Linked DNA regions of Anolis sagrei. The protein of the gene in region 1 purifies or fractionates together with the protein of each later gene. This does not show direct contact. Links are inferred from orthologs where the notes say so. Each region holds a gene or a part of one and is shown in the gene's direction. Other genes may lie near its edges.

Region 1 (7,885 bases):
CTTTGGCATGTGTTTGTTTGTGGGGTTTTGCTTTGTCACACCCTGGTGCCGTTAGTAAGACAATTAGTTTAACAGTTCCCTGGCTCCAGCTGTCTGCCAAATTCTGAATTGCATTGCAAATTAACCTGAGTTTATCACTCACCATTAACTCTTCAAAGGCACTTGTGGAACAAGGTTTCCACCAACATCCCCTTGGGAAGTGCAAGTCTGGAAATTCAGGTTTGGAGGCTTCTATCATTTCTTGTGGACAGGATATCAGGGACGAGAAAACGTCTGGCTCCATATTAACCACCATAATTTTTTCCAATTTAATAATAAATCAGAATGCCCCTACAAGTACATGGAGCTATCTGAGTGATTTTCTTTCAAATTTCTGAATCGCAATGAACCAACACGTTTTGATTCGCCATACTTTAGGAAGCTTTTAGCCCGAATGCATGTGGAAACAGGTGCCTCTGAACTGAGCAGGATGTCTCTATCAGATAAAGAGAGGAGCAAGTAACTTTGCTGTCCCATTATCTAGGTCATCAAACCATCCTACTGATGAAAAAAGAATGGGCTGCGAAGTTCAGTGCATTCCAATATTGGAATGAGGAAGTGGGTCAGAAGAATTATAGACACTTCGAAGGCTTGGGGCGAATGCCCAAAATACACACACAGACACACACCTTTTTCCAGAGAGTTGGACCCAGACAGCTTAGACAGGGAATCAACTAACCCATATCTCCTGGAAGAATTTATTGGCTTGCCAGATCTGTCCAGACGAGTTCCTTGTTTGTCTTGGTAGATCTCAGACAGATTTAAAGTAAATATCTGCTGTCTCAGAGAAGCGAAACAGGGACTTGAAGACAGGGCTGTCCCAAATTTTGTTTGTTGTCTGAATTGAAGGAAAATATCCTTCAAAATGCAGGAAAAACGACTCCACCTGAGCATTAGAAAGAACTTCCTGATGGTAAGAGTTGTTCAGCAGTGGAACATGCAGCCCCAGAGTGTGGTGGAAGCTCCATCTCTAGAGGCTTTTAAAGGAAAGGTTGGATGGCCATCTGATGGGAGTGTTTTCATTCCATGGTAGGGGGTTGGAGTGAATAATATTTGTGATTTCTCCCAACTCTATGATTCTATCCCCACACCCATTCCACATATATAGGACAGATTGATGATTTCAAGCCCCTTTTCTGGTGCTGTTATAATACAGCGCTGCATCTACGTACACTATAGAACTGATCGTTTATTTATTTATTTAAAACATTTATATTCCGTCCTTCTCACTCCAAAGGGGACTCATGGCAGTGCACAACATACAAATGGCAAACATTCAGTGCCAGGGCATGAATTCATTACATATGCGTAAGTAGTAAAGGTAAAGGTTTTCCCCTGACATTAAGTCCAGTCGTGTCCAACTCTAGGGGTTGGTACTCATCTCCATTTCTAAGCCTAAGAGCCGGCATTGTCTGTAGACACCTCCAAGGTCATGTGGCCAGCATGACTGCATGGAGCACCATTACCTTCCTGCCAGATCTACTCACATTTGCATGTTTTGGAACTGCTAGGTTGGCAGAAGCTGGGACTCACAGCAGAAGCTCATGTCACTCCCCGGATTTGAACATGCAACCTTTCGGTCAACAACTTTAGCAGCTGAGTGGTTTAACCCATAGCGCCACCAGGGGCTCCATAATTATATGCATACATACATATTAAAAAACATTTGTCTCAACATTAAAATACACTGCTTAAAACCGTCTTGATCATCTGCATCTAATTTAATTGGTTTGGTAAGGTTTCCTATCACTGCTTTATTGCACTGTCCTGAAAGCTTGATCTATATAGTTCTATAACTAACCTTCAAAGGCGCGACTGGTAGGGATGAGAGACAGGGCTTTCTCAGTGGTGGCTCCTCGACTATGAAACTCCCTGGCTAGTGGGATTAGATTGGTCCCTTATCACCTGTCATTTTGCAAACATGTGAAAACTTGGCTTTGGGAGGAAGCATTTGGCCCAGCATAATTATCTGTATAATACAGTTGGAATTGGCTTTGGATTGATGAATATGATTAAATGATTATCTGGCGTTGGATCTCTGCACAATAGTTGTCTAATGTTTTCATATGTTGTTTTAATGTTGTTTAAATTGTTTCTAACTGTTGTTGTTGTTTGGGCATGGAATAATGGTCACAGGTTCGAATCCGGGGAGCGGCATGAGCTCCCGCTGTAGGTCAAGAGGTACAACTCTGACAGGAAGGTAATGGCGCTCCATGCAATCATGACCTTGGAGGTGTCAATGGAAAACACTGGCTCTTTGGCTTAGAAATGGAGATGAGCACCAACCCCCAGAGTCAGACACAACTGGACTTATGTCAGGGGAAAACCGACCTTTACCTTAGGCATTTTCTAGGTTCTGTAGTGTGACAGGCATCCTCAGAAGTTGTGAGATCTATTGGAAAGGATGCCTGCCACAGATGCAGGCAAAACGTCAGGAGAGAATGCTTCTAGAACATGGCCATACAGCCCAAAAAACCTACAACAACCTAAAGAGGAGGGTATTCAGAAAAAATGCCCCTAGCACAGTGTTTCTCAACCTGGGTGGGGGTCGTGAGGGGGTGTCAAAGGGGTTGCCAGACACAATATTTCTGTTGGTCGTGGGGGTTCTGTGTAGGAAGTTTGGCCCAATTCTATCATTGGTGGGGTTCAGAAAGCTCTTTGATTGTAGGTGAACTATATATCCCAGCAGCTACAACTCCCAATGTTAAGTCTATTTTCCCAAAAATCTACCAGTGTTCACATTTGGCCATAATGAGTATTTGGGCCAAGTTTGGTCGAGATCCATCATTGTTTGAGTCCACAGTGCTCTCTGGATGTTGGTGAACTACAACTTCAAAACTCAAGGTCAATGCCCACCAAACCCTTCTGGTATTTTCTGTTGGTCATGGGAGTTTTGTGTGCCAAGTGTGGTTCAATTCTATCGTTGGTGAAATTCAGAATGCTCTTTGATTGTAGGTGAACTATATATCCCAGCAGCTACAACTCCCAATGTCAAGTCTATTTCCCCCAAAATCCACCAGTGTTCACATTTAGGCATATTGAGTATTCGTGCCAAGATTGGTCGAAATCCATCATTGTTTGAGTCCACAGTGCTCTCTCGATGTTGGTGAACTACAACTCCAAAACTCAATGTCAATGCCCACCAAACCTTTCTGGTATTTTCTGTTGGTCATGGGAGCTTTGTATGCCAAGTGTGGTTCAATTTTATCGTTGGTGAAGTTCAGAATGCTCTTAGATTGTAGGTGAACTATATATCCCAGCAGCTACAACTCCCAAATGTCAAGTTTATTTCCCCCAAAATCCACTAGTGTTCACATTTGGGCATAATGAGTATCTGTGCCAAGTTTGGTTGAGATCCATCACTGTTTGAGTCCACAGTGCTCTCTGGATGTTGGTGAAGTACAACTCCAAAACTCAAGGTCAATGCCCACCAAACCCTTCTGGTATTTTCTGTTGGTCATGGGAATTTTGTGTGCCAAGTTTGGCTGAATTCCATCATTGGTGAAGTTCAGAATGCTCTTGGATTGTAGGTGAACTATAAATCCCAGCAACTACAACTCCCAAATGACAAAACCAATCCCTCCCAATCCAACCAGTATTCAAATTTGGGCATAATGAGGTGTTTGTGTCAAATTTGGTCCAGTGAATGAAAATACATCCTGCATATCAGATTTTTTTACATTACAATTCAGAACAGTAGCAAAATTGCAGTTATGAAGTAGCAATGAGAATAATTTTCTGGTTGGGGGTCACCACAACATGAGGAACTGCATTAAGGGGTCACTGCATGAGAAAGGTTGAGAGTCCTGAGTCTGGTGAGCTTTGAAGAGCATCACCAACCCACTTCCTCGGATGTCCTGAACCTTGCTTCTATGATTGTTGATGTTCTTTCCCTCGAGATTTCCCTTTCAACCCTGCGAGCTTCCTTCCTTCCTTCCCTTCCCTTGGACTTCAGGAATTAAAAAGGAGGAGAGAAAAAAATAGCTTCCAGCCACCCGATGCCGCCTTTGCGCAATACAATCGCTGGGTGTTTTTTTCCCCCTCCTTCCCTTCTTTGCTTCTTTTTTTTTTTAAATCAAAAAGCGACAGGGTGTCTAGACGCCCACGTGATAAGAGAGGACGGGGAGAGGCGGCGAGGAGGAGGAGGAGGAGAGGATTGGAGAGGAGGAGGAGGAGGAGGAAGAGAGTGGCCCACTGCGCAGTCGGAAAGCTACCCAAAGCCAGGCGGGAGAAGGAGGAGGGGAAAGAGAGGAGGAAGAGGAAGAGAGGAGGGAGAAGAGGGGACTGGGTTGTGGGGAGGGGGCAGAAGGGACCCCAGCCCACATTAGCCCCCCTTCCCCTGTCGCCTTGGCACGAAAAAACCAGAGCCAACGCAGAGCATATCGAGCGCGCACAATCCGTGCGTAAAAGGGACTGGCGCACAAGCCGGGAGGGGGGGCACCCCTTTCCCGCCTCTCCCCCTCTTTGTAAGAACCCAAATCCAACATTGTATGGCGACCACTCCATTCTGAAAAGGCTCTTCTTTCTATCCGTGCCCGCATAAGCCTCCCAAGCGAGGTCGGCTCGAAAAAAGGAAGGGAGGAAAAGGCTGGAGAGGGAAGCGAGGCCAGGGCGCACGGCGCGCCTCCTTCTGTTGGCTTCCACTCCTTGCGCTTGAAGAAGGAGGTAGAAAGGGAGCGGAAAAAGGGCAGGAGGGAGGGAAAGGAGAGAGAGAGAGGAAGCCCGGGCCGAAGGAGAGCTCTGGGTCTCCCCCTTCTCCTCCCCCCTCCCTCCCTGTTGTGCGCGTATGTGTGTGTGTGTCTGTGCGTCGTCTCTGTGTGTGTCGACAGAGGCGCTGCTCCGGCTGGAAGGAAGGAGGGCGCAGACAGCCGTCAGAGGAAGGAGAAGGAGGCGCGGAGGGAACCGCATTGGAGAGAGAGAGAGACGCAGACACACACACACAACACACACACACAGACAGAGACAGACAGGAGGCTTGGCTGGCGACACTCTGCCCCCGCCTGTCATTCCTCGGTCCTTCCCTCCTCGCCGACTTCTTGGGCACCGCGGCGTTTCCTCTCTCTCTCTCTTCTTCGTCTTTCCTTTCCCCCTTTTCCTTTCCTTTCCTTTCCTCCCCTTCCCCCTCCAAAAAAGAGGAGATTGTGGGGGAGAACTTGGCACCGAGGAAACCTCGCTCTTGTGCCGAGGAAAGGAAGGAAGGAAGGCAAGCCTTTCCAAGAAGAAGGGGGCTGCTGGCTTTGCACGGAAAGGCGATGCTCCAGCTTTGGAGGAGGAGGAGGAGAAGCCCCCCAGTGTAGAAAAGCCCCCCTCCTCCTCTCCCTCCTCACCAAAGCCAGGCACGGATTTCTTTTTGGTCTGGATGAGAAGAAACCTCGCGATTGTGGCAGTGGATTGGTCTTAAAGACTCGCTACAAATATATATCTATTTTGCCTCGCCCTCCTTTGAGCAGGACCACATCTAGAGATTCCTTGGGAAGGATTGTGCATTGATTGAGGATCCTCCGGAGCAGCAGCGTGTGCCTTGCTGGAGAGAGGGAGACTTTCTTCTCCTCCTTTCCTGTGTTTCTTTCGCAGCCCCTTCTTTTCCTTCAGGGGCGGGGGAGGAGGAGGAGGAGGAGGAGGAGGGAACTAAGCCACGCAACTCCTCCATCCTCACTCACTTCAGAAGACGACTTGGCTCTAGGCTTGGGAGAAGAAGAGGAAGGAGAAGGAGAAGCACCCTTGGAAATACACCTTTCTTTTCTTCCTTTTCCTTCCATCCATCCGGATTGTGTTTCTTTGGAGGAGAAGCGAGCGAGGGCATGGTGTCTATCTCTTGGCTCTGACTCGGTGTGTTGTGTTGCTCTTTGAGGAGGGAAGGGAAGGCGAAAGGAAGGCCTCCCCACGAACTCCCTCGCGCTCTCTTTCTCTCCTTCCGTGGATGTAAAGGCGGCGGATTCCTTTCCGAGGCCGAGGCGGAGAGGGGCCTTTCGTGGGTCTCCCTCCCTTGTTTTTCCCCTCCCTCCTTCCCCCGTTTCTCGGCTCTCCCTCCGCGGCCCCATCATCATTTCAGGCTGCTGGCCCTGGCTGCCTGGACTCGGGCCCCGGATCCTTCATGAGTTGCGGACGGCATGCCCGCTGCTTAGCCGGGGAGCGCCCTTCTTCTCGTCCCGCATGTTCAGGACCAAACGCTCGGTGCTCGTTCGGAGACTCTGGCGGAGCCGTGCCCCGGGAGCAGCGGCGGCGGCGGCCTCAGCAGCGGCGGGAGCTGGGGGAACCGGCCACGGAGGAGGAGGAACCGGCGGAGGCAGCTCCAGCGGCGGAGGAGGCGACGAGGAAGGCGGCGGGGAGCTGGGCGAGGGCGCGCTGGATCCCCGGGCGCATGGCGGCGGCGGAGGAGGAGGGAGCCGGGTTTGCTGCCTGGGCAAAGGCGGCGGCAAGGCCCCCAAGGGCCCCCACGCGGGCGGCTCGGAGGCGGAGCTGAAGGCGCTGACCCACGCCGTGCTCAAGCGGCTGAAGGAGAAGCAGCTGGAGGCGCTGCTCCAGGCCGTGGAGTCCCGCGGCGCCACCCGCACCGCCTGCCTCCTCCTGCCCGGCAAGGGCGACGCCAAGCTGGGGCCCCACTGGTACTCCCTCCCGCTCCTCCTCGGAAAGGTCTTCCGATGGCCAGACCTCCGGCCCGGCGCCGAGCTCAAGCGCCTCCCCGCCTGCGAGTCCTACGGGAAGGCGCCCGGGCCCGAGCCCCTCTGCTGCAACCCCTTCCACCTCAGCAGGCTCTGCGAACTCGGTAGGTAGCCGGGATTGGAGGGGGGCTTGGGCAGGGGGGCGCCACTTTCGCAACCGCTTCCCCCACTCTTCCCCTCCATCTCTCTCCACTTCTTCCCCTCTTTCTTCCAGTATTTCTTTCTCAGTTTCTTCCTTCATTTCTTTATCAATTTCTTCCTCCATTGGAAGGGTATTGGAGGGGGAAAGGGGGGAGGGGGCGCCCCTTCCTCCACTGCTTCCCCCACCCTTCCTCTACTTCTTCCCCTGCTTCCCTTTCAATTTTCCCCTCTATTATCCTCTTCATTTGTTCCTTCATTTCTTTATCAATTTCCTCCATTGGAAGGGAATTGGAGGGGGAAAGGGGGGTAGGGGGCGCCCCTTCCTCCACTGTTTCCTCCACTGTTTCCTCCACTCTTCTTCTACTTCTTCCCTTGCTTCTTTCTCCATTTTTCTCTCTATTATCCTCTCCATTTCTTCCTTCATTTCTTTATCCACTTCTTTCCCCATTGGAAGGGGATCGGAGGGGGGATTGTGGAAGGGAGTGCCCCTTCCTCAACTGCTTCCCCCACTCTTCCCCTGTTTCTTCCTCTGCTTATTTCTCCATTTCTTCCTTTATTTCTCTCTCCATATTTTTCTCCATTTCTTTATCCACTTCTTCCCCCATTGGAAGGGGATTGGAGGGAGAATTGGGGTAGGGGGCGCCCCTTCCTCAACTGCTTCCTCCACTCTTCCCCTACTTCTTCCCCTGCTTCTTTTTCCATTTCTTCCCCTATTTCTCTCTCCATTTCTTCTTCCCCCATATCTTCCTTCATTTCTTTATCCTTCCCCCATTGCAGGGGGATTGGAGTGGGAAAGAGGAGGGGGCGCCCCTTTCCCCACTACTTCCCTTACTCTTCCCTGCTTTGTCCCGTTTTTTCTTCCATTTCTTCCACTGTTTTTTTCTTAATTTCTTCCTCAATTTCTTTCTCCATCTTCTCCATTTCTTCCTTGTTTCTTTTTCTATTTCTTTCTCCATTTCTTTAACTATTTCTTTTTCCATTTCTCCCCTTTTCTTTCCCTCATTTCTTTCTCCATTTCTTCCCTCATTTCTTCATTTTTCTCA
Region 2 (6,947 bases), about 150 Mb from region 1:
ACCTAGCTTACATCTTCATTAACACTATCCCTGGCTCATGCACTGATGCAACCAAGTTCTGTAGATGTAGACAAATGTCTGCACAACCACAACAGAAAGGAAGAGAACAAATTTGTACGTTTGTGTGAATGATCAGAACCACTTTCACTCCCTGAAGTGTTCTTATTTTCCAGCCATTCTTTATCTACAGTCCGTACATCTCTTGGCAAGGGTCCAGCAGCTGGACATGCTCTCCTTGCTTTAAGCTTTGGAGGCCTGGTGTAACTCTGTCCAAGCGCATGAGCACACGCAAGCAGGCAGGCAGACCAGGAATTCCATAAGTGAATCATGAGCTGAGCCTTCAGAAAGAATGTAAGATGGGGGATTTTCTTCAAGTCTGGAATGCAACTGCCCCAGCAGCACATATGCTCCCCAGGGGACCCATAGCACAGCACTTGTGTGCCATGGCAGAAAGGAGAAACAGATCTTAGTCTCTCTATGTTTATTGTACAACCAGGCATATTTTAACTAGGATCTCACATGGATTTTACCCCTCTAGGGAGCCACCAGCACCAGGATTTGGAAGGTGGTTCTCAAGAGAGAGGCTTACACCACTCTGCTGAGCTGCATTTAGAAAGATCCTCTGCCTGGTTTAAAAATGCTGGGGTCTGAAAATAGCTGTTCAGACTTAGGGGTATCCAGTGTCATTGTGTCTGAGTTTCATATAGAGCCAGCAATGCAGGAAAGCTTTAAAAGAGTATTTAAATTCACATGCATGAGAAGAGAGGGAAATCTTCAATCTCCTGCATCTGACTTCACTGGAAATGTAAGCTTCCCCAAGCTTAGGGTTTAACAGCAAAGAAATATATCTACACCAAGGCCAGGGGTGCATTTACATTGCAGAATTAATCCAGATTGACATCACTTTGACTGCCGTGACTCAATGCTATGGAATCATGGGGGTTGTACAGAGCTGGTGCCTCTTTTCTAGCTTTCACTTCCAAAGATTGCTGTTGTATCCTCAAACTACGACTCCCATGATTCCATACCAATGAGTGGTGTCAAACTGCATTAATTACACAGCGTAGATGCACCCTAATCCTTCATGTAGACAAACTGTTTTCAAGCTGTGTGTTGACTGGAGTGCCCGGGTGTGTCACATGATTGAATTTTCATTGGTTGATTACGTTGTGTTGTGGAAATTACACGTCTGAAAGTGTGCCTCCAACATGAAATATCTGGAAAGCTCTGGTGTGGATGAGGCAATTAAAATGAATCACTATCACTACTACTACCAGGTTATGAAGTGTCGCAAACTGTCTCCTAGTTTTAAGTAATGTTTACATTGCATTTTTGTACCTGCTATGTACATGATGCAAGTCTTATCACCAGTCCTCCAGTCTGCTCCATATCTGACTCAATGTGCAAGCGCATATCCAAAAGAGTATCATTGAGGCAGCAGAATTCATCCTACAATAAATATGAGAATAGCATAATGAATGTTACAATTTGGGTATAAAACAAGTTCACATTACTGGATTTCCCTACACACAGGTTTTCTTTACACATTCATAATCTTCAGCTCTTGACTACTAACACCAAATTACAACTTACATTTGGAGCTTAGAAAAATTACTTTTTGGCCTAATACTACGAGAATCCCCACAGGCCCTTGCCATGCTGCTTGAGAGATTCTGGGAATTAGTCCAAAATTAAGTGAAACGGCAAGCCTCTTTTGCGAATAGGCCATCAGAGTAACAAGAAACTTTCAGGTCACCTGTTGTCACACACAAAAAAGGTATAACTCCTTTTAATAAAAGCAATTGAAGCATAGTTGTCAGTTCAAAGTAATAACTGAAATGATGGGGCCAAACGTTAATGAACACGTGTTAAAAAGCACTTTGATAATAGTTACAAGTCAGGTCTTGTAACTGTGAATGTTCATAATGTGATTCTGGAAGTAAATGCTTATGAGCAGGACCAAATAGAACTAGCTCTTCTTTTCAACATTTTCATGTTATTTTTGTCAGTCAAAGTCTGTGTTTTCAAACTGAGTAGGGTTGGGTTTAGTGCTGTGCAGTGGTTTGTAATGGCTTTTTAAGAGAGTGTATACAGTTTTAAAGCTATATTTAGCAGTTTTCTCTCATACAGACATATATACATACATAGTTACGTATAGATATAGATGTTGATATTTAGTCACTTTGTTGTTTGCTCTACAAATCCATGGCAACACTACCACAGGATTTTCTTGGTAAGAGCTGTCCGAACACTCAAACACTTAGGGATTATACCAGGCATGGGCAAACTTCAGCCCTCCAGATGTTTTGGACTTCAACTCCCACTATTCCTAACACCCTGAGGTCCTTTCCTTTTCCCTTTCCCACTTAAGTGGCTGAGGGGTAAAGGAAAGGGCTAAAGGGTGTTAGGAATGGGTAAGCTGAAGTTTACCCATGCCTAGGTTATACTTTTAGCTTAGCTGTAGCATTGTTTTTAATTTACATTGTTTTAAATAACTTGCGTCCCATTCTTGAGGGGCATGTGCAATAGCAATGAAATAAGAAAAAGATTACCCACATTTTCTACACTCAGCCAAGGAAGACTACACTGGCCAACACACATTTTGGAGCCACAAAAGTTAGGGCTGTTTCTAGGTGGATTTGACACGGAAATCCCACAAATAGCACCAGTTTCCCCCCTATGGGCTCTACTTTTTGAGATACAGAACATATGCCATCTACCAGCATTCATCTGCTTGCCTTTAGAAAATTGTGTCAACCATATCTAAGGGCCCTTCCACACAGCTGAATAAAATCCCAGATTATCTGTCTTGAACTGGAATATATAGAGCCCCCAGTGTGCAATGGGCTAAACCCTTGTGCTGCCGGGGCTGATGACCGACAGGTCAGCAGTTCAAATCTGGGGAGAGCAGGTTGAGCTCCCTCTGTTAGCTCCAACTCCCCATGTGGGGACACGAGAGAACCCTCCCACAAGGTTGATAAAACATCAAACATCCAGTTGTCCCCTAGGCAATGTCCTTGCAGACAGCCAATTCCCTTACATCAGAAGCAACTTTCAAGTCGCTCCTGACACGAAAGAAAAAACTGAAATATAGGGCAGTGTGGACTCAGATAACCCAGTTGAAAGCAGATCTGTGGAAGCACCCCTAAACTAGTCTGATGACTCAAGGGCCTGTCCAGACAGCCCTATATCCCAGAATATCAAGGCAGAAAATCCTACAAGATCTGCTTTGCGCTGAGTTATCTGAGTCTACACTCAGATCATAGAATTGGAAGAGACCTCACGGGCCATCCAGCCAAGAAGCAGGAAAATCAAATTCAAAGATAATGTGGGATTTTCCGCCTTGATATTCTGGCATATAGGGCTGTGTGGAAGGGACCTAAGAAACCAGAGCTGATGGGGTCCATCCAATGCAATTTTTTGAATCAGCACCCCAAATAACCCCAGGAACAGGCCTAAAAACTAAGACTCTTGAGGGCTCTTCCACACAGCCCTATATCCCAGGACAGCAAGGCAGAAAATCCCACATTATCTGAGTGTAGACTCAGACAACCCAGTTCAAAGCAGATAATGTGGGGTTTTCTGCCTTGATATTCTGGGATATAGGGTTGTGTGGAAGGACCCTCAGTCCACACGCAGATAATGTGGGGCTTTCTGCCTTGCTATCCTGGGATACAGGGCTGTGTGGAAGGGCCCCAAGAAAGTCCCTTCCTGGAGAACACAGAAGGCAGGAAACCGCCTTTTGTTTTTTTTTTTTTTTTTTTTTTTTTTTTTGGTATCAGGGTCCACTTCTTTGATCTCCTGATCTAAGGCACGCGCGTCTTTTTTTGTCCGCCGACATCCATGCCTAGCGGACACCGGCTGCCTGTGTTCCCCTTTAAGCGCCAAGCGCCGCCTCCCCTTTAAAGCCCGGCAGGCTCTTCCCACTCCTCCTCCCCCCTCCCCTCCAGTTCTCGCTGGCTTGTCTTGTGTGCCTGATTTGTCTCGCGCAGCAGCGGTCTCGGCCGTGCGTCGCCTCAGCTGCTGCTGGAGCCGCTGTTGTCGGAGCGAGCGAGCGAGGAAGGGGAGGTTGCCGCGAGGCCGCCGTTGCCATGGCGGGGGGCCCGGCTCGCGCCAACGCCGCCGCCACTCCTGCTGCTCCTCCCGCCCCGCGCCCTTTCTTCCCTACCTGCCTCGGGCTGGCCGTGCTGGTGCTGGTGCTGCTGGGGGGCCAGCGGGGGGCCCAAGGTGAGCGCGAGCGGAGGGAGGGGGGAGGGAGGGAGCGGGAGGGGGGAAAGAAACAGAGCCTTCGCCAACATGGCGGCTGCGATATTGGGGAGCCTTCCTCACAGGGTAGTGGAGAAAAAGGAGGAGGAGGAGAAGGAGGCCAAGATTATTGGGGGAAGGGTGGGGGGAAGAGGAAGCAAGTCCCCCCCCCCCATTTCCCCGTCCCCCATCTATCCCTCCCCAGGGGAGGCCCATGCCATCCTTCAGCCCTTCCTCGAAGCTCCTGTTGTGTGGCTCCTTCCTCAGCAGCAGCCATGGCTGGAATGAGGCGGCGCGCCTTCCTTCTGAGGTGCGGCGTCCTGGGAAGGTATGGCGGACGTGCCTTGGTCGGGTGTGTTTGCCTGCCTGCCTGCCTCTGGGGGACTGGGGAGCAGGAAGGGGGCTCGCCCCCTATTGGGGTGGCTCAGTGGCTAGGGCTTAGGCCCCATCGGGGAAGGAGAGAGCATCACCTTAGCGTTTGTTTATGTAGTCATTTATTCGCCTCCTGTTGGGGTGGCTCATTGGCTGGGGCTTAGGCGCCATCGAAGAAGGTGATGTTTATTCGGCCATTTATTTATAGAGATGGTTCGCCATTGAGGGGTGTCAATGCTAGGGTTCAGAAACCATCCAGGAAGATGAGAGGGACATCTGATCTTTATTCAGTCATTTATTGGTGTGTGTTTTTGCAGACGAGGGGAGGGGTCCTTTTGTGCCCATGCGTTGGTGTGTTTCTGTGTGTGTGTGTGTGAGAGAGGGGAGAGGCCTTTGAAGGCCTGCCAGTTCCTTTTCTCTCTGTATTGTATCACAGAACTGACTCTGAGAGACCGATGTCTTCAAAAGCACGTTTAAATGGATGTTACATATTTTGTCAACAAGATGTACAGTTTGAGCATCTCTTGCCCTAAATTCCAAAATGGTCCACATGGATGGCTGAAATAGACAAATCAAATCAAAATCTTATATTTACAGTCCACGACCAGTGTAGAATCATAAAGTTGGAAGAGAACTCATGGGCCATCCAGTCCAACCCCCTGCCAAGAAGCAGGAAAATTGCATTCAAAGCATTCCACCTTACAGTCATTCATCCACATCAGTACATTGTTTACATTAGGTTAGGACAGTGGTTCTCAACCTGGGGTCCCCAGATGTTTATGGCCTTCAATTCCCAGAAATCCCAGCCAGTTTGTCAGCTGTTAGGATTTCTGGGAGTTGAAGGCAAAAAACATCTGGGGACCCCAGGTTGAGAACCACTGGGTTAGGATATAAATTTAAATTTAACACCATTTAAAACCCTACTCTGATTGTAGGTTTCAAAAAGATAACCTAGACCTGGCATGGGCAAACTTTGCCCTCCAGGTGTTCTGGACTTCAACTCCTACAATTCTAGGTTTTAGACTTCAACTCCCACAATTCCTAACAGCCTACTGGCTGTTAGGAATTGTGGGAGTTGAAGTCTAAAACACCTGGAGGGCCAAAATTTGCCCATGCCTGACCTAGACCTTAAAACTATATCATGTTCAAAACATTTTGTCCTGTTCTATAGTAGTTACCTTAAAATCATTCATCCATGTGAATGCTTACATTAGGTTATGATATAAATTTAAATTTATCACTATTTAAAAGCTATTTACAAAAATGCTACTCTCACTATAGGTTTCGAAAAGAAAACCTAGACTTTAAAACTATATCATGTTAAAAACATTTTGTCCTGTACTATAATAATGACACTTTTGCTTTCTGGTGGTTCAGTAATGCAATCTTTGTTTAATTCACAAAGTTATTTAAAATCTGGTATACAGTGGATAAAGTATATGTGAAACAGCAATAAATGGCGTTTTAAGGCTTGGGGCCCATCTTTAAGATATCTTATTTTGTGGGTATATGCAGATAGAAATATTTCAAAGTAATAATAAAAATCAAAACATTTTCAAATACAGGAGATAACGTTCAACACAAATTTCTCCTCCGAAAAGGAAATCATATGTTAACCTTTGAAAGTAATCATACATTCTAAGTGAGGTTTGGGTTCACCTTAAATAGCCTGGTTTTTTATTGTTTGGTTTCACTTGTAAAGCACTGTCAGTCTGATGACTCTTAATTCCCCCTTGCTGTCTCAACAAAGACATCATCAAAGAAGGAGCCAGTCACAAACCAGTTCCTTATGTGCAGACACATTTGTTAATTTATTTTCAAAGAAGGTAAGAAGCCTTGCTCTTGAGAACATCTTGTACATTGACAGAGCTGATGCTGATGCAGGGCAGTTTATTCATATGGAATAGTCTCTTGATGATGTTTCTTATGAAGTCACTTAAAGATCTATAGGGGAATAATAAATTATCGTAATTTTACCATGAATTCTCAATTCCATATTTACAAACCAGCACCTGTCAAATTTACCTCAAATGATTTTTTATCATGTGAAAAATACATTTTACGCTTCCCTCATTATGTACCTTCTTGGGCCCTTCCACATAGCCATATAACCCAGAATATCAAGTCGGAAAATCTCACAATATCTGCTTTGAACTGGGATATCTGAGTCCACACTGCCATATATTCCAGCTTGAAGCAGATTATTGGGATTTTATTCAGCTGTGTGGAAGGGGTCCTTGTTAATATGGACATTCAGATGCAGATTTCCTGAAAATTCAAAACCATGGAAGAACTGGGTTTTGGGACGGAGTTCCTCCCTGGAAAAAATA
Region 3 (7,367 bases), on another chromosome or scaffold:
CCCTGGATGATAGGAATTGCAGTTCTCCCCACATTCAGGGAAAACTTCTAGAGAGCACTGGGAGGCAATGATGGAGGACAATGAGGGGTATAGTTCACCCATATGCAAAGTGCACTGTTAACCTCACTGAGAATGGACCTGGACCAAACTTGGCATACATATCCATCATTCCCAACTTTAACAGGTGGGGGGTGTCACCTGCTATGATCGGACTTGTAGTTCACCAACATACTTATGCATTATCTAATGTGTCCAGTCATAAAATTCAAAACCAAACAATGCCTGTTTCTAATGTTTCTCCTTCCTAATGACCTTACCCAGGCATTGCCAGGTACTGAAGTGAATATTTATATAAAATTATTATTATTATTATTATTACTAATTTTACTCTTATATCCTGCCACCATCTCCCCAAAGAGACTTGGGGCGGCTTACATGGGGACCAGGCCCAGTCAACAGAATTAAAACATAGAACAGTAAATTATACTGCATTACAATAAATTAAAACAAAATTGTTCACTTATACAGCATTATTAAAATGCATTGTTCTTTATAGTGAAGTAGCCTAAAACAGTGGGTCCTCCCAAAGTTGTAAAATCTAAAATATGCCTGTATACATACACCTAGGGAAGGAGGAATAACAAAATACAAAGCTATACAACTACAAAACAAATCATCAGATAAATTAAAAACAAAAACAAAACCACCAATATAATACAAAGCAAACTAATAAATAATAATAATAATAATAATAATAATAATAAACTGACCGTATAGGCAGACAGAACTGGGAGGACAAGGAATAGTTCTTCACATCCTAAGAGAAAACTGTCCTTCATATGATTTTACTGTTAACGATTTTATCAGAGGGTTAAAAAAGCACTTTGCAAAAGAAATTCCAAACCTTATCATCAGACAAAAATGTAGTAATATGTGTGTACTATGCAGATCTCAACTTCCTAAAGCTACATTTCAACCCTTAGTCTGTTTAATTTTGTAAGATCTTGGTATTACAATATTAGGTAAAGGCACCTTGTTGATACACTACAGACTGCCTAAAGCTTTAAAATTTAAATGGTATCCAATTCATGATAAAAGCAGTTGAATGGGATTGATGAACTAGAAAGAGTGATGAGAGAATACTTCAGTATATGATTATCGCAGGCAGACTTCTGGAGGTTGAAGAACACTGCTGAAAGTAAGCATTGCAGAAATTGACAAACTGTCTACCAATTAGAGGAAAAAATATAGTACAGTTTTTGAAATATTGGAAGCCCTTGACACTTTTTGGATTTGATTACTAATGGGTTGTTTAATAGAATGAGTGTAACATTAATTCTATTGAGAAGTTGGATGTTCTATAACCACAGAAAAGACCTCATCCCATTAGGAGGGGAGCAGCATATATCCGTGACATTATGTCCGGTTGGATCCACATAGTTATTCCCCGTAGTAACCTACGGATGTGAGAGCTGAACCATAAGGAAGACTGAGCAAAGGAAGATAGATGCTTTTGAACTGTGGTGAAATTCTGAGAGTGACCGTGAGAAGATCCAACCAGTCCATACTTCAGGAAATAAAGCCCAACTGCTCATTGGAGGGAAGGATATTAGAGGCAAAGATGAAGTACTTTGGCCACATCATGAGAAGACAGGAAAGCTGAGAGAAGACAATGATGCTTGGGAAAATGGAAGGAAAAAGAAAGAGGGGCTGACCAAGGGCAATATGGTATCCTTGAAGTGGCTGGCTTGACTCTGAAGGAGCTGGGAGTGATGACGGCTGACAGGGAGCTCTGGCGTGGGCTGGTCCATGAGGTCACGAAGAGTCAGATGCGACTGAATGAATAAACAACAACAAAGCTTTAGAAATTAAATCGTACTGTTTCTCAGATCCCATCACACATTGTTCCTTCTTGTCTTTTCTTCCGAAATAATTCATTTTCAGATTTATCACACAAGCAAAACCAGTCTTGTCCTATGTGCATTCTACAAAGAAACTGCTACAACAATATAGTTGTAGTTTAAGTCCAAAACACCTGGAGGGCCCAAGTTTGCCCATGACTTATATAGATTGTAGTAGTTTATTTTGTAGCATGCTTGCTTGTATGTTTGAAATATGTCTTAGGGCCCTTTCACACAGCCATATAACCCAGATTATCAAGGCAGAAAGTCTCACAATATCTGCTTTGAACTGGATTATCTTGAGTCAACATAATCCATTGTGGGGTTTTATTCAGCTGTGTGGAAGAGGCCTTAGTATACACAAATCTTAATACAAATTTCTATATCAATATTTAAAAAAACTAGCTGTCCCCTGCCACGTGGTGCTGTGGTCCACATGGGGGTTCTGTGTGGAAGGTTTGGCCCAATTCTGTCATGGGTGAGGTTCAGAATGCTCTGTGATTGTAGGTGAACTATAAATCCCAGCAACTACAACTCCCAAATGTTAAGATTCTATTTTCTCCAAACTCCAAACTCCACCAGTGTTCACTTTTGGGCATATTGAGTATTCGTGTAGAGTTTGGTCCAGATCCATCATTGTTTGAGTCCAGTGATCTCTGGATAATAATAATAATAATAACAACAACACTTTATTTGTACCCCGCTACCATCTCCCCAAGGGACTCGGTGCGGCTTACATGAGGCTGAGCCCAAATACAACAATACACGCAATTGTAACAACAATACAAACAATTAAAATGAAAAAAACATGGACAATAAGATATGCAACATTAACAATAAGACAACACACAATTAAAACTGTGGGAAGGACCAAATATAAAATTAAAATTGAAAATAATGCTGGAGCATGGGCGAAAAGGTGGTAGTGGCATTTGTGGAAAATATACAAGCAGACCTAAAATGTAAAGTGCTTCGGAGGACAAAGTGCTATGGGATCATTATTCTGGGAAGACACACTGGAACAACCATGTCTTCAAGCTCCTTCTAAAGACTGCCAGAGTTGGGGCCTGCCTGATGTCTCTAGGGAGTGAGTTCCAGAGTCGAGGGGCCACCACCGAAAAGGCCCTCTCTCTCGTCCCCACCAATCGCGCCTGCAATGCTGGTGGGATCGAGAGCAGGGCCTCTCCAGATGATCGAAGAGATCGTGTGGGTTCGTATACAGAGATGCGGTCACGCAGGTAAGCGGGCCCCAAACTGTTCAGGGCTTTGTAGGTAAGAACCTGCACTTGAATTGGGTCTGGAAAATGAATGGCAGCCAGTGGAGCTCCTTGAACAGGAGGGTTGACCACTCCCTGTAAGGAGCCCCAGTTAACAACCTGGCTGCCGCCCGTTGGACCATCTGAAATTTCCGAGCCGTTTTCAAGGGCAGCCCCACATAGAGTGCATTGCAGTAATCCAGTCTAGAGGTGACTAAGGTGTGGACCACCTTGGCCAGATCCGCCTTCCCGAGGTACGGTCGCAATTAGCGCACGAGTCTTAATTGTGCAAAGGCCCTCCCGGCCACCACTGATGACTGAGCCTCAAGTGTAAGTGATGAGTCCAGGAGGACCCCCAAACTGCAGACCTGTGACTACAGGGGGAGTCCAGCACAGGTTGCCACCCTATACCCCAGTCTGGTTTACGATCGACCAGGGGACCTGTCTTGTCAGGATTAATCTTCAGCTTGTTCGTCCTCATCCAGACAGCCACAGCGGTCAGGTGAACTACAACTCCAAAACCAAAGGACATTGCCCACTAAACCCTTCCAGTATTTTCTGTTGGTCATGGGAGTTCTGTGTGGCAAGATTGGTTCAATTCCATCGTTGGTGGGGTTCAGAATGCTCTTTGATTGTAGGTGAACTATAAATCCCAGCAACTGCAACTCCCAAATGACAAAATCAATTTTTTTGAGTGAAGGACATACATTGGGTTGTTAGGTGTCTTGTGTCCAAATTTGGTGTCAACTCGTCCAGTGGTTTTTGAGTTCTGTTAATCCCACAAACGAACATTACATTTTTATTTATATAGACTAGTGCAGTGGTTCTCAACCTGGGGTCCCCAGATGTTTTTGGCCTACAACTCCCAGAAATCCCAGCCAGTTTACCAGTTGTTAGGATTTCTGGGAGTTGAAGGCCAAAAACATCTGGGGACCCCAGGTTGAGAACCACTGGACTAGTGGGAGAACCCAACAGAATCCGCCATAGAGGCGCCTTCCCTTCTCCTACAGAGCGCGGCCATTTTTGACTCTTCCCCCTCCTCTCTGCTAAAGCCGCTCCTAAACCGGGCTGTGCCCAACCGCGCATGCGCGTCCCGCAGAGGGCGGCGCAGTCCTCCAAGCCGCCTGGAGTCGCTCTCTCTCCCTCCCGCAGACCCTGCGCGAGGCCTCGCCTCCTCCTCCTCCTCCTCTTGCTGCCCCCTCCCCTCCCTCCCTCCCTCCCTCCCTCGCGCCCATCCATGGGGTTGCCGAAGTGGGAGGGGGTCGTGGAGGGCGTTTCCCCGGTCGCCGCGCGGCGTCACTCCCAGCATGCAGCGCGGCCCGCTCCTGCCGCCGCCGCCGCGCCTGTCACCGCCGCCTCCTCCTCCTCTGCTGCCGTCACTTTCGCCGCCGCCGCCGGCGCCGCGGGGCTGGGAGACATGGCGGAGGGAGGCGCGGCGGACCTGGAGACCCAGCGCTCGGACATCACGGCGCTGCTCAAGACGGCCCTCCGCAAAGGCGACACCTGGTGAGGCGAAGGGGAGAGAGAGGGAGAGAGAGAGAGGAGGGGAGGAAGGGCGGGGGTTGGAGGGCCCTCCTGAGTGACAGGTGCGCGCGACTCCTCCTGCTGCTGCTGCTGCCTTTTCCTGGTTGCTGAGGGAAGCACTCCTCCCTTCCTCTAAGGGAGGAAAAGGGCTTACCTTGCTGCCAGGTGGGAGGCTTTGGGGCTCCCCATTCCCCGCCCCGCCCCCATCCTCCCGCTCTCAGGAGGGCCTGGCTCGCCCCATTGCTTCAAACGGGCCCCGAAGCAGGGTGGCGTGAGGAAATGCGTCTGTTGTGCTGGTGTGTTTTCTAGGCAAGGCTTCTCAGCCACAGCCTCCCCTCCCACCAGTAGCTTCCACGCTGAGGCCTGTGTTGCCGGAAAGGGCCCTCTCACACTCTCTAGGGTGGAGTATCCCTCACCCAAGGATGGAGAACGAATGCAGTTCGGCACCCATGTAACTGCCATGGCTCAAGGCTCAGCTGTCATTAAGGCTAGGGTTATGTCAAGGCAGAAAATCTCACAGTATCTGATTTGGACTAATGGCCCTTCCACACAGCCCTATCTCCCAGAATATCAAGGCAGGAAATCCCACATTATCTGAGTGGGGACTCAAATATCCCAGTTCTAAGCAGATACTGTAGAATTTTCTGCCTTGATATTCTGGGATATGGAGCTGTATGGAAGGGCCCTCAGAATATCCAGGCAGAAAATCCCACAATATCTGGTTTGAACTAGGGGCCCTTCCACACAGCTCTATGTCCCAAAATATCAAGGCAGGAAATCCCACATTATCTGAGTATGGACTCAGATATCTCAGTTCAAAGCAGATATATCCGCAGTTTGGGAGTCCTCTTGGATTCATCACTTACGCTTGAGGCCCAGGCTTCAGCGGTGTCCGGGAGGGCTTTTGCACAATTGAGACTTGTGCGCCAACTGCGACCATACCTTGTAAAAGCTGATCTGGCCAGGGTGGTCCATGCCTTGGTCACCTCTAGATTGGACTACTGTAATGCGCTCTTCGTGGGGCTGCCCTTGAAAACAGCTCAGACATTTCAGCTAGTCCAACAGGCGGCGGCCAGGATGTTAACTGGTGCTCCTTACAGAGAGAGGTCAACCCTCCTGTTTAAGGAGCGCCATTGGCTGCCGTTCATTTTCCGGTCCCAATTCAAGGTGCAGGTGCTCACCTACAAAGTCCTAAACGGTTTGGGACCTGCCTACCTGCGTGACCGCATCTCCGTTTATGAACCCACACGTTCTCTTCGTTCATCTGGAGAGGCCCTGCTCGCGATCCCACCTGCGTCGCAGGCGCGTCTGGTGGGGACGAAGGACAGTGCCTTCTCTGTGGTGGCCCCCCAACTTTGGAACACCCTCCCCAAGGACATCAGACAAGCCCCTACACTGGCAGTCTTTAGGAAGAGTTTGAAGACCTGGCTGTTCCGGTGTGCCTTTCCAGAATAGGAAACTCCAGCAATATGTCCCAGAAGCACTTTATCAGAGATTTAAGATTGTCTGCATATTGCACTTACCCTAAAATCCTACATTTCACCTGTCATACTCAGCACTTTTTAATATGTACCCATTACATTCGGCCCGGCCCTAGTTTTTTGTGTTATGGTGTTTTGTTTTTATTGTTTACTGTTATTGCTTAATGTTTTGATTTGCTTTATAATGTTATGTGTATTGTTATGCTGTTGTTTTTATTGAGGCCTTGGCCTTTGTAAGCCGCATTGAGTCCTTCGGGAGATGTTAGCAGGGTACAAATAAAGTTAATAATAATCATAATAACAATAATAATAATAATAATAATAAGGGATTTTCCTCCTTGATATTCTGGGATATAACGCTGTATGGAAGGGCCCTCAGAGTATCCAGGCAGAAAACTCCACAATATCTGCTTAGAACAGAGTCCACCCTGCCATTTGTTACATCCCAAATAGATTACTGCAACGCACTCTACATGGGGTTGCCGCTGAAGACTACCCGGAATCTCCCAACTAGTCCAACGCTCAGCAGCCAGGTTGCTCGCGAGAGCACACAACCCCCCTGTTACACCAGCTCCACTGGCTGGCGATTAGCTTCCGAGCACAATTCAAAGTGCTGGTTTTAACCTATAAAACTTTACACGGCCCAGTTTACCTCTCTGAATATATCTTCCCCTATAAACCATCAAGGACTTTAAGATCTTCCATAGAGGCCCTGCTCTCCATCCCACCACTTTCGCAGTTGTGCTTGGTGGGGACAAGAGACAGGACCTTCTCTGTGGTGGCCCCCTGGCTATGGAACTCTCTCCCCAATGAGGTTAGGTCTGCCCCCTCCCTCCTGACCTTCAGGAAGAAACTGAAATCCTGGCTTTGGAATCAGGCATTCGCAGATTGATGGATTGACTGGTAAAGACTAAGAGTTATTGGACCATAATGTTTGGATTGAGTTGGATGATGTTTTTAACTCAGCGAACTGTCTTTTATATGTATTTTATAACTTATTTATTATGTACGTTGTTTTTAAAATGTTATTTATTGTTTAGCATTGAATTTTTGCTGTTGTTAGCCGGTTTGAGTCCCTCCACAGAGGTAGAGAAGAACGGGATATAAACGTTCTAAATAAATAAAAAATAATAAAATATAATCCAGTTCAAAGCAGAAAATGTGGGAATGCGTGCCTTGATATTCCGGGTTATATGGCTGTGTGG
Region 4 (7,224 bases), on another chromosome or scaffold:
CCCCCAAAATCCTTAAAAGTTCATAAAGAGTTGTGGAATTTCATAAAGGGTTCACTGGGGTTAGGCAGAGGGCGCCTGAGAGTTCCAAAGTTCACCAAAAGTTGATTAAAATTTTAAAAAGTTGCAAAAGTTCATAAAGGTTGGGAGAAAGTTCATAGGGAGCCTTGGAAAGTTCATAAGAGTCCACGGGGAGCACATTGGGGTTACTGTGAGTGCTGATGGTCAAGATCCATTCATTTGAAGAAAGGAAAACTATAAATCCAATTTTGTCCAATGGCCAGAATGCCCCGTCAGAGGTTCAGGATTCCCAAGGGGTGACCACGGCAGGTTCCCCGGGGTTGGCAGGCTTCTGGACACACACAAGATGGAGGCACAAATGTCGCTGCCGCATGGAGCCATGGACCAAAGTCAACTGGTCCCCACATGAGGTTTTGAGATAAAAATGATTTTTCTCGGGGCGCAGGGGTCCATAGTGCAAAAAGCGAGATGGCATTTAGTCTTAGAATTAATCTAGGAAAAAGATGGCACCGGTCTGGAGATGGTCCGTTGACCTGCAGATACGGGGGCCAAATTGATTTCCATATCCACGGTTCAGAGGAACACAGTTTCGGCCTCTCCGGGACGCTGTAAGAGCATCCTTGGCGAGCCAGCAGTGATCTGAAGCTCAGAAAAGGAAAGGTTCATGTTAGAACGGGTTAGAGCAGTGTTTCTCAACCTGGGGGTCGGGACCCCTGAGGGGGTCACGAAGGGGTGTCAGAGGGGTCGCCAAAGACCATCAGAAAACACAGTATTTTCTGTTGGTCATGGGGGCTCTGTGTGGGAAGTTTGGCCCAATTCTATCATTGGTGGGATTCAGAAGGCTCCTTGATTGTAGGTGAACTATAAATTCCAGTATCTACAACTCCCAAATGTCAAAGTCTATTTTCCCCAAACCCCATCAGTGTTCACATTAGGGCATATTGAGTGTCCGTACCAAGTTTGGTCCAGATCCATCATTGTTTGAGCCCATAGTGCTCTCTGGACGTAGGCGAACTACAACTCCCATACTCAAGGTCAATGCCACCAAGCCCTTCCAGTATTTTCTGTTGATCATGGGAATTTTCTGTGCCAACTTTGGTTCAATTCCATTGTTGGTGGGGTTCAGAATCCTCTTTGTTTACATGTTAACTATAAATCCCAGCAACTACAACTCCCAATGACAAAATAAATCCCCCTGCCAAACCCACCAGTATTCAAATTCGGGTATACCAGATATTTGTGCCAAATTTGTTCCTGTGAATGAAAATATATCCTGCAGATTATTATTTACATGGCGATTCATAATGTTAGGGTTATGGTTGGGGGTCACCACAACTGTATTAAGGGGTCGCGGCATTAGGAAGGTTGAGAACCACTGGGTTAGAGGCAGTAAAGGGATACAACATATGACTACAGAGAGTGAAATGTTACAAATAAATACTTCTTTATTGGGGGATAGTTACAATGTTAGGGAAGGGGAAGGAAAGAAAATGGAGAGAAATAGTCTTTAGTTGAATGCTGCTGTGGCCACAGTCTCTTTGTTGCTGGCTCATCCAGATGTTCAGGAACTCTGCTGCACTTTCAGATCAGCTTGAAAGCTGGGGCTTGAGAGCTCGATCTCACATTTCCATTTAGGGGAGATGTAGTTCACCTACATCCCGGAGAGCACTGTGAACCCAAACCACTATGGATCTGGACCAACTTAACACAATACTCAATATGCCCAAATTTGAACAATGGTTTAGACTACTGTAACACTCTCTACGTGGGGTTGCCTTTGAATACAGCTCGGAAGCTCCAACTAGTCCAACGTTCGGCAGCCATGATACTAACAGGAGCGGAGCGCAGGGAGCATACCACTCCTCTGCTGCACCAGCTCCACTGGCTGCCGATCTGCTACCAGGCTCAATTCAATGCTGGCGTTGGCCTTTAAAGCCCTAAACGGTTCTGGCCCAAGCTACCTATCCGAACGTATCTCTGCCTATCAGCCCGCCAGGACCCTAAGATCTTCTGGGGAGGCCCTGCTCTCTATCCCGCCTGCTTCACAGGTGCGGCTGGCGGGGACGAGAGACAGGGCCTTTTCTGTGGTGGCCCCTCGGCTGTGGAACGCCCTTCCCATGGAGGTAAGATCAGCCCCCTCGCTAATGGTGTTCCGAAGAAGATTAAAAACCTGGATGTTTGAACAGGCATTTGGTTAATCAGTGCAATGAATGTGACGATTACAGGAATGGAAATATGGACGACGAATTTGGATCACAACTCTAGTTATGAGATGCATTGTGTTGTTACTGTTGTGTAATATTGTATATTGTGCTCTTGTGGTTTTAAATTGTATATCGTTGATTGATTTTATCCTTGTTGTAAACCGCGTTGAGTCGCCGGTTAGGCTGAGAAACTGCGGTATACAAGTAAAGTAAAGTAAATAAATAAATAAATAAATAAATGGTGGAGTTTAGGGAAAATAGACCTTGACATTTGGGAGTTATAGTGCTTGGATTGATAATTCACCTACAACCAGAGCATTCTGAACTCCACCAATTATGATATTGAGCCAAATTTGGCACACAGAACTCCCATGACCAACAGAAAACACTTGTCCAACTTGTTTGGTGGGCATTAACACTTGTTTGGTGGGCATTAACCTTGGGTTTTGGAGTTGTAGTTTCCACCTCTGCTTGAAGACCACAAGAGAAGGAGATTCCATCATACTTCGAGACAGAAGTCCATTCCACTGTGGGACAGTTCTTGCCATCAGGAAGTTCTTCCTAATGTTTAGGTGGAATGGTCATTTGTGTAAATGTTGAACATTGATGGAGCAAGCACGCTCCCCTGAAGCAGGCCGTTCTTCTGTTTCCGCCATCTGCTTCTCTGGCCCTGAACTCAACAAAAAAGCTCCTGTTTTGTAGCAGGTTTCCTATGAAGCAGGTGAGGTGGTAGTCCTTTGTGATTGTTGTTCATTCGTTCAGTCGTCTCCGACTCTTTGTGACCTCATGGACCAGCCCACGCCAGAGCTCCCTGTCGGCCGTCACCACCCCCAGCTCCTTCAAGGTCAGTCCAGTCACTTCAAGGATGCCATCCATCCATCTTGCCCTTGGTCGGCCCCTCTTCTTTTTACCTTCCACTTTCCCCAGCATAATTGTCTTGTCTAGGCTTTGCTTTCTTCTCATGATGTGGCAAAAGTCCTTCAACTTTGTCTCTAGTATCTTTCCCTCCAATGAGCAGTCGGGCTTTATTTCCTGGAGGATGCACTGGTTGGATCTTCTCGCAGTCCAAGGCACTCTCAGAACTTTCCTCCAACACCACAGTTCAAAAGCATCGATCTTCCTTCGCTCAGCCTTCCCTAAGGTCCAGCTCTCACATCCGTAGGTGACTACAGGGAATACCATGGCTTTGACTAGGCAATGGATCTTTGTTGCCAGTCTGATGTCTCTACTCTTTACTATTTTATCGAGACTGGACATTGCTCTCCTCCCAAGAAGGAAGCGTCTTCTGATTTCCTGGCCACGGTCTGCATCTGCAGTCATCTTTGCGCCTAGAAATACAAAGTCTGTCACGGCCTCCACGTTTTCTCCCTCTATTTCCCAGTTGTCAATCATTCTTGTTGCCATAATCTTGGTTTTTTTGATGTTTAGCTGCAACCCGGCTTTTGCGCTTTCTTCTTTCACCTTGATTAGAAGGCTCCTCAGCTCCTCCTCGCTTTCGGCCATCAGAGTGGTGTCATCTGCATATCTGAGGTTGTTAATGTTTCTTCCAGCAATTTTCACCCCAGCTTTGCATTCATCCAGCCCCGCACATCCTCGAATGATGTGTTCTGCATACAAGTTAAAAAGGTTGGGTGAGAGGATGCAGCCTTGCCGTACGCCTTTCCCAATCTTGAACCAGTCTGTTGTTCCGTGGTCAGTCCTGACTGTTGCTTCTTGGTCCTTGTACAGATTCCTCAGGAGAGAGACAAGGTGGCTTGGGATGCCCATCCCACCGAGAACTTGCCACAATTTATTATGATCCACACAGTCAAAGGCTTTAGAGTAGTCAATTCTAAAGCCTTTGACTGTGTGGATGACCCTGCCATGACTCTCACCCAAAAGCGTCGCACCAGAACCAGACGTGACGTTCAGTGCTTTTGAACCTCTTTACTCCCTGAGGGGGCGGGGCTTAGGAGAGGCGGTGGCGGCGCTGCTTGGCGGCTTTGCCGTAAAGCAATCCCACTGCCGAGTGTCGCGCTGCTGCGTCCGCCGAGCAGAGCGACAGAGGCGGTGAGGAAGAGAAGGAGGAGGAGGAGGAGAGCGGCGCCTGAGGGAAAGCCAGGCCGCGAAGGGGGAAGGAAGGAAGGAAGGCAGGAAGGCTCAGGCCTAAGCCTAGCGGGAGGCCCCACCGCGCACCCTCCGGTGAGTAGGCCCGAGGAGGGCCCCTGGCCTCGGGCATAACTGCAAACGGAGGCCGTGGCTTCGGGGGGAGACTAGGCCCGGCCCGGCCCGGGAGGAGAAAGACACGCAGATCTGCTTGGAGAGAAGGGGGCCTTGTTATATTGTATAGGCCCCTTTCACACAGCTCTCTCTCTCAGAATACAAAGACAGAAAATCCCACATTATCTGAGTGTGGACTCAACTTAGTTCAAAGCAGATATTGTGGCATTTTCTACCTTGATATTCTGGGATATATCTATATGGAAGGGCCCATAGATATAGATACATATGGAGGGAGATTGTGGCTCGGAATATATATATATGTATCACATTATATTATAACACACACACACATATAATGCCATATATATATGTATGTATATAGCTGTGTGGAAGGGCCCATAGATATAGATACATATGGAGGGAGATTGTGGCTCGGAATATATATATATGTATCACATTATATTATAACACACACACACACATATAATGCCATATATATATGTATGTATATAGCTGTGTGGAAGGGCCCATAGATATAGATACATATGGAGGGAGATTGTGGCTCGGAATATATATATATGTATCACATTATATTATAACACACACACACATATAATGCCATATATATATGTATGTATATAGCTGTGTGGAAGGGCCCATAGATATAGCTACATATGGAGGGAGATTGTGGCTCGGAATATATATATATATTTATATATGTATCACGTTATATTATATCACACACACACACACATATAATGCCATATATATATATATATATGTATGTATCACATTATATAGCTGTCCCCTGCCACACATTACTGTGGCCCACATGGGGGTTCTGTGTGGGAGGTTTGGCCCAATTCCGTCGTTGGTGGGGTTCAGAATGCTCTGTGATTGTAGGTGAACTGTAAATCCCAGCAACTACAACTCCCAAATGACAAAATCAATTTTTTTGAGTGAAGGACATATATTGGGTTGTTAGGTGTCTTGTGCCCAAATTTGGTGTCAATTCGTCCAGTGGTTTTTGAGTCCTGTTAATCCCACAAATGAACATTATATATATATATATATACACACACACACACACACATATATACTAGCCGTCCCCTGCCACGCGTTGTTGTGGCCCATTCTGGTGGTTATGGGCTTTCTGTGTGGGAGGTTTGGTCCAATTCTATCATTGGTGGGGTTCAGAATGCTCTGTGATTGTAGGTGAAATATAAATCCCAGCAACTACAACTCCCAAATGTCAAGATTCTATTTTCCCCAAACTCCACCGGTGTTCACATTTGGGCATATTGAGTCTTCGTGTAGAGTTTGGTCCAGATCCATCATTGTTTGAGTCCACAGTGATCTCTGGATGTAGGTGAACTACAACTCCAAAACCAAAGGACAGTGCCCACCAAACCCTTCCAGTATTTTCTGTTGGTCATGGGAGAACTGTGTGCCAAGTTTGGTTCAATTCCGTCATTGGTGGGGTTCAGAATGCTCTTTGATTGTAGGTGAACTATAAATCCCAGCAACTACAACTCCCAAATGACAAAATATTTTTTTTTAGTGGAGGGCATATATTGGGTTGTTAGGTGTCTTGTGTCCAAAGTTGGTGTCAATTTGTCCAGTAGTTTTTGAGTTCTGTTAATCCCACAAACGAACATTACACACACACACATATATATACATACATACATACACACACACACACATATATATATATATACTATCCGTCCCCTGCCATGCGTTGCTGTGTCCCATTCTGGTGGTCATGGGGAGGTGTGTGGGAGGTTTGGCCCAATTTCTGTGTGGGAGGTTTGGCCCAATTCTGTTATTGGTGGGGTTCAGAATGCTCTGTGATTGTAGGTGAACTATAAATCCCAGGAACTACAACTCCCAAATGTCAAGATTCTATTTTCTCCAAACTCCACCAGTGTTCACATTTCGGCTTATTGAGTATTTGTGTAGAGTTTGGTCCAGATCCATCATTGTTTGAGTCCACAGTTCTCTCTGGAAGTAGGTGAACTACAACTCCAAAACCAAAGGACACTGCCCACCAAACCCTTCCAGTATTTTCTGTTGGTCTTGAGAGAACTCTGTGCCAAGTTTGGTTCAATTCCATCGTTGGTGGGGTTCAGAATGCTCTTTGATTGTAGGTCAACTATAAATCCCAGGAACTCCCAAATGACAAGATCAATTTTTTTTAAGTGACGGACATACATGGGATTGTTAGGTGTCTGGTGACCAAATTTGGTATCAATTTGTCCAGTGGTTTTTGAGTTCTGTTAATCCCACAAACGAACACTACATTTTTATTTATATAGATTCCAGGCTTTTATATCCCGTCATATCTCAATCTCCGCAGAGGGACTCGGGATGACTCCGTTCATCCCGAGTTGTTGTTCATTCGTTCAGTCGCCTCCGACTCTTCGTGACCTCATGGACCAGCCCACGCCAGAGCTCCCTGTTGGTCGTCACCACCCCCAATATATATATAGATATATATATACATATCACAAAATATAATAGTATATACATATATATATGGAGCCCCAGTGGTGCAGTGGGTTAAACTGCTGAGTTGCTGAACTTGCTGACCAAAAGGTCGCCGGTATATTTTATTCTCTCTCTCTCTCTCTCTCTCCCCCTCCTCCCCTCTCTCTATAAAACATTATATTATATCTATCTATCTATAGATATAGATCTGGAGGGAGATTGTGACTCAAAGATATATCTAGATCTGCACACACAATTCAATATATTACATAAAACAAGGGTCCACAAACTTTTTAAACAGAGGGCCAGG

What was found.
Region 2: the proteins of SMAD7 (region 1) and ACVR1B purify together in Homo sapiens (affinity purification with western blotting; 3 studies listed by BioGRID and IntAct, with this or other methods). This does not show direct contact. The link is inferred for Anolis sagrei from reciprocal best matches to the Homo sapiens genes SMAD7 and ACVR1B.
Region 3: the proteins of SMAD7 (region 1) and USP15 purify together in Homo sapiens (affinity purification with western blotting; 3 studies listed by BioGRID). This does not show direct contact. The link is inferred for Anolis sagrei from reciprocal best matches to the Homo sapiens genes SMAD7 and USP15.
Region 4: the proteins of SMAD7 (region 1) and RNF111 purify together in Homo sapiens (affinity purification with western blotting; 3 studies listed by BioGRID). This does not show direct contact. The link is inferred for Anolis sagrei from reciprocal best matches to the Homo sapiens genes SMAD7 and RNF111.

The regions. Positions count from the first base shown.
Region 1 is NC_090022.1:288,279,976-288,287,860, forward strand, and holds the start of SMAD7 (mothers against decapentaplegic homolog 7), read left to right. Parts: upstream 1-4,885; 5' UTR 4,886-6,192; coding exon 6,193-6,805; intron 6,806-7,885. UniProt on the Homo sapiens protein: Antagonist of signaling by TGF-beta (transforming growth factor) type 1 receptor superfamily members; has been shown to inhibit TGF-beta (Transforming growth factor) and activin signaling by associating with their receptors thus preventing SMAD2 access.
Region 2 is NC_090022.1:139,321,820-139,328,766, reverse strand, and holds the start of ACVR1B (activin receptor type-1B), read left to right. Parts: upstream 1-3,946; 5' UTR 3,947-4,091; coding exon 4,092-4,227; intron 4,228-6,947. UniProt on the Homo sapiens protein: Transmembrane serine/threonine kinase activin type-1 receptor forming an activin receptor complex with activin receptor type-2 (ACVR2A or ACVR2B).
Region 3 is NC_090025.1:140,457,554-140,464,920, forward strand, and holds the start of USP15 (ubiquitin carboxyl-terminal hydrolase 15), read left to right. Parts: upstream 1-4,367; 5' UTR 4,368-4,394; coding exon 4,395-4,663; intron 4,664-7,367. UniProt on the Homo sapiens protein: Hydrolase that removes conjugated ubiquitin from target proteins and regulates various pathways such as the TGF-beta receptor signaling, NF-kappa-B and RNF41/NRDP1-PRKN pathways.
Region 4 is NC_090029.1:12,186,986-12,194,209, reverse strand, and holds the start of RNF111 (E3 ubiquitin-protein ligase Arkadia), read left to right. Parts: upstream 1-4,217; 5' UTR 4,218-4,403; intron 4,404-7,224. UniProt on the Homo sapiens protein: E3 ubiquitin-protein ligase. Required for mesoderm patterning during embryonic development. Acts as an enhancer of the transcriptional responses of the SMAD2/SMAD3 effectors, which are activated downstream of BMP.